Sus scrofa: one gene and its partners. The protein of the gene in region 1 binds, or shares a complex with, the protein of each later gene. Links are inferred from orthologs where the notes say so. Each region holds a gene or a part of one and is shown in the gene's direction. Other genes may lie near its edges.

Evidence for each region. Proteins that work in one complex are often made in the same cells at the same time.
Region 2: CPSF3 (region 1) and CPSF2 share a complex: the UniProt entries of both Homo sapiens proteins name them as parts of the cleavage and polyadenylation specificity factor (CPSF) complex. The link is inferred for Sus scrofa from reciprocal best matches to the Homo sapiens genes CPSF3 and CPSF2.
Region 3: CPSF3 (region 1) and CPSF4 share a complex: the UniProt entries of both Homo sapiens proteins name them as parts of the cleavage and polyadenylation specificity factor (CPSF) complex. The link is inferred for Sus scrofa from reciprocal best matches to the Homo sapiens genes CPSF3 and CPSF4.

The regions. Positions count from the first base shown.
Region 1 is NC_010445.4:126,871,951-126,875,831, reverse strand, and holds part of CPSF3 (cleavage and polyadenylation specificity factor subunit 3), read left to right. Parts: intron 1-729; coding exon 730-817; intron 818-1,276; coding exon 1,277-1,346; intron 1,347-3,842; coding exon 3,843-3,881. UniProt on the Homo sapiens protein: Component of the cleavage and polyadenylation specificity factor (CPSF) complex that plays a key role in pre-mRNA 3'-end formation, recognizing the AAUAAA signal sequence and interacting with poly(A) polymerase and other factors to bring about cleavage and poly(A) addition.
Region 2 is NC_010449.5:113,687,059-113,690,939, forward strand, and holds the end of CPSF2 (cleavage and polyadenylation specificity factor subunit 2), read left to right. Parts: intron 1-399; coding exon 400-699; intron 700-2,420; coding exon 2,421-2,555; intron 2,556-2,929; coding exon 2,930-3,022; 3' UTR 3,023-3,466; downstream 3,467-3,881. UniProt on the Homo sapiens protein: Component of the cleavage and polyadenylation specificity factor (CPSF) complex that play a key role in pre-mRNA 3'-end formation, recognizing the AAUAAA signal sequence and interacting with poly(A) polymerase and other factors to bring about cleavage and poly(A) addition.
Region 3 is NC_010445.4:6,380,518-6,384,398, forward strand, and holds part of CPSF4 (cleavage and polyadenylation specificity factor subunit 4), read left to right. Parts: intron 1-1,386; coding exon 1,387-1,482; intron 1,483-1,833; coding exon 1,834-1,927; intron 1,928-2,962; coding exon 2,963-3,035; intron 3,036-3,881. UniProt on the Homo sapiens protein: Component of the cleavage and polyadenylation specificity factor (CPSF) complex that play a key role in pre-mRNA 3'-end formation, recognizing the AAUAAA signal sequence and interacting with poly(A) polymerase and other factors to bring about cleavage and poly(A) addition.

The DNA.
Region 1 (3,881 bases):
TTCTCGGAGTTCCCGTCATGGCGCAGTGGTTAACGTATCCGACTAGGAACCATGAGGTTGTGGGTTCGATCCCTGCCCTTGCTCAGTGGGTTAATGATCCAGCGTTGCCGTGAGCTGTGGTGTAGGTCGCAGACGAGGCTCGGATCCCGCGTTGCTGTAGCTCTGGCGTAGGCTGGTGGCTACAGCTCCGATTCGACCCCTAGCCTGGGAACCTCCATATGCCGCGAGAGCAGCCCAAGAAATAGCAAAAAGACAAAAAAAAATATATATATATAATTCTCTTCCCTCGAAGCAAGCAAACTCGTCATGGGATACTTCTTAAGAGCACGGAATGTGATGATTCAAATAAGCAGCATTAAAATAACCCAAATCTGCTGTTCCCGTCATGGCTCAGTGGTTAACGAATCTGACTAGAACCCATGAGGTTGCGGGTTGGATCCCTGGCCTCGCTCAGTGGGTTAAGGATCCAGTGTTGCCGTGAGCTGTGGTGTAGGTCGCAGACACGGCTCGGATCTGGCGTTGCAGTGGCTGGTGTAGGCCAGAAGCTGCAGCTCTGATGGACCCCTAGCCTGGGAACCTCCCTATGCCGCAGGTATGGTCCTAAAAAGCTAAATAAATTAATTAATTAAAATAACCCAAACCTGCAAGGGCTGGAAATCATTAATTTAGGTAAATACGGTTCCCACTGTTGGAGTTTTAAATTCCCTAATTCTGCCTCTTGCTTTACAGTGGTTGGCAAACCCTTCCAATGATATGTATGCAGATACGGTAACAACCGTGATATTAGAAGTTCAGTCAAACCCGAAAATAAGGAAAGGTACAAAATTACTTTATTTTTTATCCATTAATTCTTTCATTTCTCCCATGGTCCTCTGAAGTAAGAAGCAGAAAACAGAGTCCTAAAGAACTCAAAACCTGATTTTTTCATTCCTTTAACTTCTAAAATATAATATATGCATAACAATGCACATTGCTCATATTTTATTTACTTTTTGTCCTGAGTCTTCATTCACGCTGTAAAAATACGGTTGCCGTGAACGCAAACACAAAATCTGTTGGTAACGGTGTCTTAAAAAGAGTTTAATCAGAAATTCCAAAATGCTGCTGAATCGAACCAGCACGGCCACCAGGAGAGCGGGCTGCTGCTGTCTCCGTGTTTGACGAAACGTTGAATAAACCACTTTGGTTTCTCAGCAGCTGTGTTCCGATTATTGATTTGGAAAGTATTCTAAATAGGGCTTTGGAGATTGAACGCCCTGTTGCTTTTTCTTTCCAGGTGCAGTCCAGAAGGTTTCCAAAAAGTTAGAGATGCACGTTTACAGCAAGAGGTTGGAGATCATGCTCCAGTAAGTGTGGCGTCCGCTCCCGCTCCGCAGGGCGGCCAAGCAGGGGCTGGGGAGGAGGCCCTTCTGGTGGCGTCGCCACCTGCTTGTGCGGCTCAGACAAGGTCCCTTAACGAGTCCGGGGGCCTCTGTTTCTGCCAGCCAAGGGGTTTGAACCACTTCCTTCCAGCTAAACCCTCTCACCAGTTCTGAGTCCCTGTGACCTGCTTGGCCGGCCACTTTGCTGTAAATACCTTTTACTTAATGTAGAGCCTCACGATGCTTCTCTGTGGCTCACGTAGCAGGATAAAACCTTGTCATCAAGGACAGGTACTCAAATTTTAACCTCGTGTCAGTACGCCTCTAAGAATTGTTATACACTTACTTCTCTCTGAATAGAGCTCCACAGGAGCAGTAATTTTCTGGACTCTTTCAGATAGTAAGTCTGTAAACCGTCAGTCACCTTTAGACTTTTCTCGGAATGCCAGCGATCAGGCCTTTCCTCCACTGTTTCAGAATAATTTTTTCCAAACAAAATAGTCATCTAAAACTGCCTCTTAGTGGATAACTGCAATTTAACCTTATGTATGATATCCCAAAAAGGAAGAAGAAAAAGATTTGAATTGTTTTATCATTTCAGCATCTAGCGTAGTGCCTTGAACACAGCAATCTCTCAAACACTTGCTGAGTAAACGACCGCTTCTGTTTTTAAGCTGAAGGTTACTTACTTAGATGGTTTGGTAAAATACGGCGCTCTGCAGGCTTGGAGGTTTTTATGTTACTGTATCTCTGTCCCTCCCTTTCCCCCAAATTCCACGCTGATAATCTTCTACAGCAGCCATTTACTGGCTTTTTAAAATGGGTGATAGGCTTTAAATGGTGGCTTACAAACGGTGTCACACAGCTTCAGAAGTGCTCTTGGTGGCGTCATTTTGATTTTAAAAAGCACACCTGCCATACAACCTAAAAACCAGCCGACGGTTTGCACTGCCGTGAAAAGGCTGTGGGTCCCGTGTCCGCCGGTTCCCAGCGCTGCTCCTCTGCAGTGTCTGAGAGCCTGGCCTGCCAGCCTGGGAGTCTGCGTGTTTTAATCATTTTAGACCCTGACTCCTCGAGCTGTGGAACTTCACCTGGAAGGGGAAGCGCACACACAGCCTTATCTTTGGTTTTTAAGGAGTTAGACGCCCCTTTCTCAAGCGCCTCTTGGGACCCCAGGGGGAAAAGCCCTTTTGTAGCAGACAGGTGACAGTGCTCTCCTGTGCCTGTCCAGGGGACGCATCGAGCGCAGTCGTGCTGTGAGCAGCTCTGTTTTCAGCGGCTTTACAGAAATAGAAAGCCCTGTGTTGCCCTGGCATGGCTGAGCTTCCCAGGTGCACCCATGGGTGCCGGACGGAGGCCTGGACCCTGCGCCTCCGCGGGGCCGCACGCAGGCATCCGCTCCAGGCTGCTGGCCCTTCGCCCTCGCCATCCCCTGGTCTCCTGCCCCGGACCCTGCCTGGGCCACCTGCCCTCCCACACACACCCTTCCACAAACGCGGGCACAGGAGGCCAGGGCCAGGGCCCACACGCGCCCCCTGAGTGTGAGGTGCCGGCTTGTTTCAACTCCCAGGTCGGTCCCAGTCTGAAAACTGCAGCTGTCACTCCAGCTCTTTAAATCCTTAGGATTATATGTGGATAAATTTCTTTAACAAACCGACAACTGGTTGCATAAAAATGAGGCTTGTTCTTTTGAATACATTTCTGTAGTTAAAGTATTTTCCCTTAGTACAAGGTTGCCCAGCCAGTTTATTCAAACGTATCATTCCCATGACTGCCCGGAAGAGCAGGCAGTTAATGTCCCTTCTCCCCCGACCCCTGCCCTGGAATATAGCTTTTTTCAGTGCTCGACTGTCAAGCTGACCCGTGTCTGGGGAGTTTTTCGAGTCACTGACTACCATTCCTCGCCTGCGTCCCGCCCGCTGCTTCGGCTGTGGGTTGCAGGTGTCTCTGTCATTGATGGGGACAAGTGTGGAAACGGATCGACCGACCGTCGCTCTTCGGTGACGGAGGCAGCGTCTCGGGATTTTCCACCTCCCCGGGGGCCCAGCGCACCCGGCACGGAGAAGATGCTCCGTGAGCCCAGGGTTAACCGGAAGGAGGCCTTCGGAGCGGGTTAAAGGGCTGGCGGCCCGTGGACCTAGAGGCCTGGACACGTCGCCCACACGGGTGCCCACGAGCCAGGGGCTCCAAGCAGGTGCCCTCACTGCCTCGTGCCTAAAGGACTCCCTGCCACAGTTATTATAGGTGACGAGAGCGGATATGAAGTGCCACGTGTGACGCTTGTTCTTAATAAATGATAGCTGTATGTATTTCCTGCCTTACAAAATTAATAAAATGTGCGAAAATAAGTAAGTGCATTTCAGGAGTAGATATAAGGACTCTACCTCAGAACGAGGGCCTATCGCAAATATTATTATTCCCCAAATCTTTACGTATTTATGGAACAGTTTCCACTAATGCCGCCCCTTTGCTTATCCTAAGGGACATATTTGGAGAGGACTGTGTTAGCGTAAAGGACGG
Region 2 (3,881 bases), on another chromosome or scaffold:
ACTCCTGGAGTAGCATCAGGTCCTAGACGATGAGACTCCGGCCACCCTCGGCCACACACCCGCGGGAGTCCGAGGGACTCAGTGTTTTGGCCTTAGTCTCACCGGTTAAGTTAGACTCACTGGAGGTGGGACCCTGGCATTAATATTAAAAAACATGAAATTACCGTGTGGTCCCAGTGTGCAGTCAAGGTTAAGAATCGTTACTTAGGAAAGTAGGCCGGGCCCTAATAATCTGAAAGCACGAGGTCATTGCCGGTTATGGTGAAGAGCAGTGCAGTGAAAGATTTTCAAATTTTACTACATAATTCTAGAGGTAGAAAATGATACTAAGTCATATATAGTTGTCGAATTATCCTCTGTGGGCTTGCTTTCTCTCTTTCCCCTTTGTATCATGTTTAGGTGAGATTGAAAGATTCACTTGTCAGCTCCCTTCAGTTTTGTAAGGCAAAAGATGCTGAATTAGCTTGGATAGACGGTGTCTTAGACATGAGAGTTTCCAAAGTAGACACAGGAGTTATTTTAGAAGAAGGAGAGCTAAAGGATGACGGCGAAGACGCAGAAATGCAGGTGGACGCTCCTTCAGACTCCAGCGTCATAGCCCAGCAGAAGGCCATGAAGAGTCTGTTCGGAGATGATGAGAAAGAAACAGGTGAAGAAAGTGAGATCATTCCTACACTGGAACCCTTACCACCTCATGAGGTAAAAAGCACCTGCCACTTCCCTCCCTCCCTTAATTTTCCCTTTATGTTTTTAACCACTTGAAATGTGTCACATATAGACTCATTTTGGAATTTTAAAAACGAGACATGTTTCTGTGTGCGTATGTGTCCTCTACGGCTAGGGAATGATAACAACAGTAAGGTAACCTTGAGCAAGTCTGATAAAATGCATAATTGTGTCATGATTTGTTTTTGCAGTGTGGAATTGTGAATTTTTTTTTTTTTTTTTTGGTGCCTTTTTGCCATTTCTCGGGCCGCTCCCACGGCATATGGAGGTTCCCAGGCTAGGGGTCGAATCAGAGCTATAGCCGCCAGCCTACGCCAGAGCCACAGCAACGGGGGATTCGAGCTGCGTCTGCAACCTACACTACAGCTCACGACAACACCAGAAACACCAGATCCTTAACCCACTGAGCAAGGCCAGGGTTCGAACCTGCCACCTCATGTTCCTGGTCGGATTCGTTAACCTCTGAGCCACGACGGGAACTCTAAGTTGTGAATGTTAAGTTTGATGATTGTGAGGGTCACCCACCTGCTGCTTTTTTTTTTTTTTTTTTTTTTTTTTGTCTTTTTTTAGGGCCGCACCTGTGTCATAGGGAAGTTCCCAGGCTAGGGGTCCAGTCCGAGCTATAGGTGCTGGCCTACACCACAGCCACAGCAACATAGGATCCTAGCCACGTCTGCAACCTACACCGCAGCTCACAGCAACGCCAGATCCTCAACCCACTGAGCGAGACCAGGGATCGAACCTGCTTCCTCGTGGATACTAGTTGGGTTCATTAACCACTGAGACACGAGGGGAACTCCTCACCCATCTGCTTCTAATCAGGAGATTTATAATATTCTAGGAATCTCACACTCTGACATTCCATTTTAGTATGTTGTCAGTTTGAATCAGTTGTGGTTTTGATAGTGTCAGAAACCTTTTATTTTTGGTATGGGTGTAATTCTAGTCTCGTGTGTTATTTACATGTTCTCAAGAGATATCAAGTTAACTAGAAGAGCTTTCAGGTAATTAACTTACAATAATATTAACTATATTATGAGAGTCTTACATGGCTGTCAAGTGATGTCTTTAGTCCTTCTGTGCAACAAAGAAGAGATGGCCTCTGTCATCCCATCCCTTCTAGTGTCACTCTTGAAGTTGGAGGGAGGAGTTAGAAACTCTCTGGGCTAAAGCTGGCCCTCTTCAAAGCAGCTTCAAAGTGGCAGCATTAGGTCGAAGCACTTGTCTTTCTGTCTAAAACCCATGGCATCCGTCGTATTCACTGTGAGGCGGGAAGGGAAATGGAAGTGGATCGGGGGAGCGTTCTCCTCTGACCTGTAGACAAAGGACTTGGACCAGGAAAGCACACTCTTGGTTCAGTTCTGCCTGCTGGCACTGTAGCTGACCCCCTTCGGCAGGTGGGTGGGGGGAGAGCGTAACATTATCCAACGTCTGCCTGTTATTAGGAGGCGTGACTAATAACACTGATTGTGAAACGTTGGGAACTGTGAAGGGCTTTGTAATGTTAAACAATGAGGTGAAATTCAGAATAACAACTTGGAATGTGATTTACAATCTTGAAATGATCTGTCAAAGGACTTCAGCAGGCAGCAGAAAATATCTTAGAGATCGTGTGTTATTTCACTTTATTCAGTACAACGATATGCCTGCTGTTTTATTTGAAGTTAATTCTTTCCCCTTTAACCTTATCTAAGGTTCCTGGACATCAGTCAGTTTTTATGAACGAACCAAGACTCTCTGACTTCAAACAAGTTCTTTTACGAGAGGGGATCCAAGCTGAATTTGTAGGCGGTGTCCTCGTTTGCAACAATCAAGTGGCAGTCCGTAGAGTAAGTGTGTTTTTAATAAGAGCTGACTTGAACACGGTTTTCTGTTGTGTTATTTGGAATTCCGTAGTTCTCAATTAATTTTACAAGCTGGTGATCCATGATTTACGTTCCTAATGATGACCTTGAAAGCTTTTAAAAGTGATTCTCAGAGACATGCTGTGTAATTTTATTGTAGAGGTTTATTTGAATCCTCTGACATTTCTGTGTCGATGTAAAATGCATGACTTGAATATTATATCCATATTCTGTGAATCAGAGCAGCCCTTTTCCTGACCAGTCATAAAGTAATCTAGTTTATATTTTGGTTATTATTCATGAATAGAAAATGTACTAAAGAACTTATTTAAATTTTTTTTTTTTTACTTTGTTTCTAGACGGAAACTGGACGCATTGGATTAGAAGGCTGCCTTTGTCAAGATTTTTATAGGATAAGAGACCTTTTATATGAACAGTATGCCATTGTGTAAAGGACATGATGTCAAGAAGTATCTGTTTGACCTTTCTAAGAAAAAAGGATCTAAGAAAAAAGAACTCTTACTCTAAGCTTTTGCTTTTTTGTTTTGTAACATACAAAAAGAATCTGCCAGAAAAACTTAACATGCATTAGATTTTTAAAAGTGTAAGTGGAAACCATATCATTGCTAATGCTCCAGTGAGCATGCGACCTTTTGGCTTTCGGCGTGATAGAGATCCTTACAAGTGTGCAGCCCTGGCTGAAGGTGACTGGCTTCCTTTTCACACCCCTTATTCTAGAAGGGCTTTTTACTTGAATAAAACAGTGCAACTTAGCAAACCAGTTCATGGCCTTCAAGAAACATGTTTGCATGAATTCTTGTAAACGGTTTCTTCCATATTCTGGAATGAAAAGTGAGACTTTACTTAGAAAGGATGTGCTGTAAAAAACCTGATAAAACAGCTTTTTGAGGCTTATCTCTTTCAAAAACAAAAAAACCCAGTATACGTGCTCTAGTTCTTTGGAATTCCTCTATGCAGTTTTCTTCACATTCAGCTTCGCTCTTCATGACTGCGTTTCACGGTGGTTTTACTCTGCTGTGAGATAGTACACATCTGGTTCAGAAATCAGTTTTTATTTCTCCCATTTCTTGTTCCATTAAGATCTTGTTGTTGTTGAGCTTAAGTTATAACACCACAAAGTTATAAAAGTTATAAAAGTTCAAAAGTTATAACATTTGAATATACGTCATTCAAAAAAAAACCTCCTTGATGTGTTCTAGTCTTAAGGGTTCTGCATGCATTTTAGACACATCTTAACCATCAGCTGGGATGCTGTGTTGGAGACGGTTTAGTGTTTTGCTTTTAGGGAAA
Region 3 (3,881 bases), about 120 Mb from region 1:
ACAGGCTTGGCCTGCTGGCCTCTTAATGACACTTGTGGCTTTTTCTTTAGAGGCAACATAAGTTGAGAGGTTAGAGCACAGGTAGAAAACAGGACCCGGGCTTCCCAGCCCCCCACTCCCTCCCTCCCACCCACAGCAGCGTGGGAAGCAGCCCTGGGAGAGCGCAACAGCAGCTTCTCCATGGGAGCCTCTCCCATCTGGAGACATCGTCCCCAAAGGCAGGAGCCACTCCCCTGGGCAGACTCCTGAGGGCGCCTCTGCCACTGGCTTGGGTTCCCAGCTTCCCTGCAGATGGGCCTGGGCCCTCTGCCTCCCAGACCTGCGACGAGAGCCTGTCCCGTCCCAGTGCAGACACACCGTCTGTAGCTCCTGTCACCTGCGCCAGGCACTGAAGGGGCAGCAGCAAAGAGGACAGGCCCGTCATGGCCCTGTGGCGCTTTTGCTCCAGTGCCCCAGGGAAAGAGGTGGCCAGTCCCCCTGTGAGACAAAGAAGAGAATTGTTGGAATTCCCTGGTGGCTCAGCAGGTTAAGGACCAGCATTGTCAGTGCTGCGGCTTGGCTCACCACTGTGGTGCATGGTTGATCCCTGGCCTGGGAACCTAGGGCGTGCTGTGGGACCACTTAAAGAAGTGCCCTCGAGACAGCGTGGTCAGAGGGCCTCGGAGGAGGGGGCCTGGGTTGGGATCCGAAGGCTAAGACGGGACCACTCAGGGCAGAGGACTCTTCTTGGACCGGCTGGGAGGCCAGTGAGGCTGGAGAGGGGGTGGGTGAGACCCCACAGGGCCTTTCATGTGGACAAGGACTGGAGCGGGCAAGCTTGAAGGGGTGTGGCCGCCCGGGGTGGCAGTGCCTGTACTCGGCCAAGAGAGGCTGGTGGCCAGCTGGGCCCGTTGCTCCCGAGAGGAGCTGTCACAAAGGCTTCAGCACCGTCTACCACAGGGACCCAGCCGTGAGTTCCCAGGCTGTCCTAAAAACGAGCCTCCTCAGGCCTTTCCCTGCCGCAGCATAGACAAAGAGAGCTCGCGGGGGCTCTCCTCGGAAACGGGAACTTCCTGCTGGTCTCCACTGGTGTGTCTGTCTGTCTGGGCCCCACGCTGCCCAGGACACCTCCTTGGGCCAGAGGTGGAGCCGTGAGTTATTTGATGTGTGTGGACCCTGTGCCCGCCTCTGTCAGTGTCACCTCTGAGGGAGGGCCATCCCTGCCCACGTACAGGTCAGGAAACTGAGGCTCTTGAGACCCTGAGCCCTGGGTCTCGGGCCGGGGCCGGACACCACAGCCCCCCCCCTGGGCCCCTCTGCTGGACGGCGGCCCAGCCTTGGGGGGGCGGGGGCGGAGGCGGGTGGGGGCCAGCTGTCGCAGGGGCCGCGTGTCCGGTGTCCCTGCAGGGGAGTGCAGCAACAAGGAGTGCCCCTTCCTGCACATCGACCCCGAGTCCAAGATCAAAGACTGTCCATGGTACGACCGCGGCTTCTGCAAGCACGGTAGGTGTCGGAGGCCAGTCCTCTCGCCCTCTGCCCACATGACCCTCTGCCTGTCCCGCCTCTTCCTGCAGAACCTGGTGTTAGTCACCAGGGGCTAGTGAGGCTTTGCCGCACCCTCAGGTCACCTGAGTCTCCCTAGGCTCCCCTGCAGGCCACGTGCTCACCTGTCCTTTTGATGAAGAAACTAGTGTTTGAGAGGATGTGTGCCTGCCCACTGTCCCTTCTCAACAGGAGGCAGAGCCAGCCCTGGCCTCGCTCTCCGCACCCCAGGCAGCAGTGTGGCAGGGCTCTGACCGGCAGAGGAGGGGCACAAGGGCGCCCCCCCAGTGCCCCTGACACTTGGCTCCACAGGCCCCCTGTGCAGGCACCGGCACACGCGGAGAGTCATCTGTGTGAATTACCTCGTGGGATTCTGCCCGGAGGGGCCCTCGTGCAAATTCATGCAGTGAGTAGCTGGGCCCTGCTGCCCTGTGTCTTTCCTGGGCCGTCTGGGCTGTGGTCACTGGATGGTGTCAGCACAGGGTCTGGGCAGGGGTGGGAGGTGGGGAGAGACCCCTGCTGCCTCCTGAGTCCAGAGGTGGCTCTGCCTGAACCAGCCTCTAGCCTTTGTGGGGTCATAGGTCATCCAGGACTCAGGTGGAAGCTGTGGGCCCCAGGCTCCCAAAACCCTTGTGCACGTGTAATCTTGCTCATCACTTGGGGGCCTCAGGTGAAGAGCCTGTGCCCTCAGGGAGAGGATTTCGGTTTCAGGGCCTCCCTCTGGAGACGCTGAGCTTGGTGTTCCGTGTACACTGGTTCCTAGAACCCTCATGTGTGCAAGAGGGTCCCCATCTCACACCTGAGGCCAGGGTCATGTGGCACAGGTGGTACCACCTGGTCAAAGGCAGCTGTGTGGCCTCTAAAGCCCGGTCCTCCTTGCTCAGGAGGGCGCATTGCTCGTCTCCTGGGCCTCTGTGCCCGGCTGTCACTTTGGGTGGTCATGGGGCAGCACCGCATCTGTCCTTGCTGCTGACACCGGCACGGAAGCAGCATATCCTGGCCGCTGCCACATGGTGGGCAGGTGGCGGGTGCTGCTGACAGGGCTCCTCTCCCTGGGTAGGTGGCCGGGGAGCCTGCTATCAGTTCTGACACTCAGTTGCCCTGCGGGAAAGGCAGGGTGTGTGTCGGGAGGGCCTTCGTGTACGCCAGCTATTTCTTTCCCTTCTCTGAGCAGCGCTTGCTGGGCTCACACCTAGTGTAGACAGAGCTGGGTCCAAGGCCAGGCACAGCAAATCTGTCTTCCCCACCATCCCGAGGCCTTGGGTGGAACTGAGCGCCAGCACCCACCCCGTGCCCAGGTGCTTTGGGTGGCCCTGTGCTTGGCTCGAGACTGGCTGTGGTCTTCCCGAGGCCAGAGCTTGAGACCCCCACCTGGCCGACCTCCTCTCTCATCCTCTCCTCCGTCTCTCGTTCCCGTCCCCTCCTGCTGCCGGGTGACCAGCCCTCGATTTGAACTGCCAATGGGAACCACGGAGCAGCCCCCACTGCCGCAGCAGACGCAGCCTCCGGCAAAGGTACCGTGCCCTCGCCCCGTGGTGCTGCCGGCCCTGGCAGTGCCCTTGCAGCAGAAAACTCAGTGCCCGCCTCAGTGCGGGGCTGCTCTGGACCTGGCTGGAGACCGTGTGCGGGGCAGGGGTCCCCCTAGACCCAGCAGAAAATCCAGGCAGCAGAGCAGCTGGCACCCTCCTCTGGGGGTAGAGGGCCGTCTGCCTGAGCCAGGTCCCACGTGCGTCTCCCTTCCCGCCTGCCAGCGCCCGGGAGTGGAGTGCAGGGCGGCGTGGGGCCTCCGGTTCCAACCCTTCCCTCTGCCAGTGGGACTCACCTGAGGGGCCCTGCTGGGTGGGAGCAGACCCGGAGCGGGCCTGAGGCCGAGGTTGAGCGGTTAACTGCTCCGCGTGGAGCCTCCCAACTGCAAGGAGGATGCTGGGAACGGGGCGAGGGACCATTTGGCTCCAGTCTCCCAAGCGAGGGTCCCACGACCCAGCAGTGGGCTGGTCCCCCCAAGCATGAGGGAGGGAAGTGCCGTAGACAGAGAATCTGCAGCAGTGCCCCCAGACCAAGGGCACCGTGAGTTTGGTTACGGGATGGGTGGGTGGGGGCCCAGACCGAGGCGGGCCAGGTGTCCTAGGCGGGGTCTCAGCAGGTTGCGTCAACAGCCCACCGATCCTGAGGCCTCACTCTTACCTGGCTGGACTCCGCCTGTTGCCGAAGCCCGGCCTGGCCCCGCTCACGCTAGAGGCCGAGCCGCCGGGAATGTGGCCGCCCTGAGCCCACCCTTGGGGGGTGTGGGGTGAACCCAACAACTGTTCTCCGGCAGAGCCGGCACTCCTGCCTGTGGGGGCGGCCGTGACAGCCTGGGC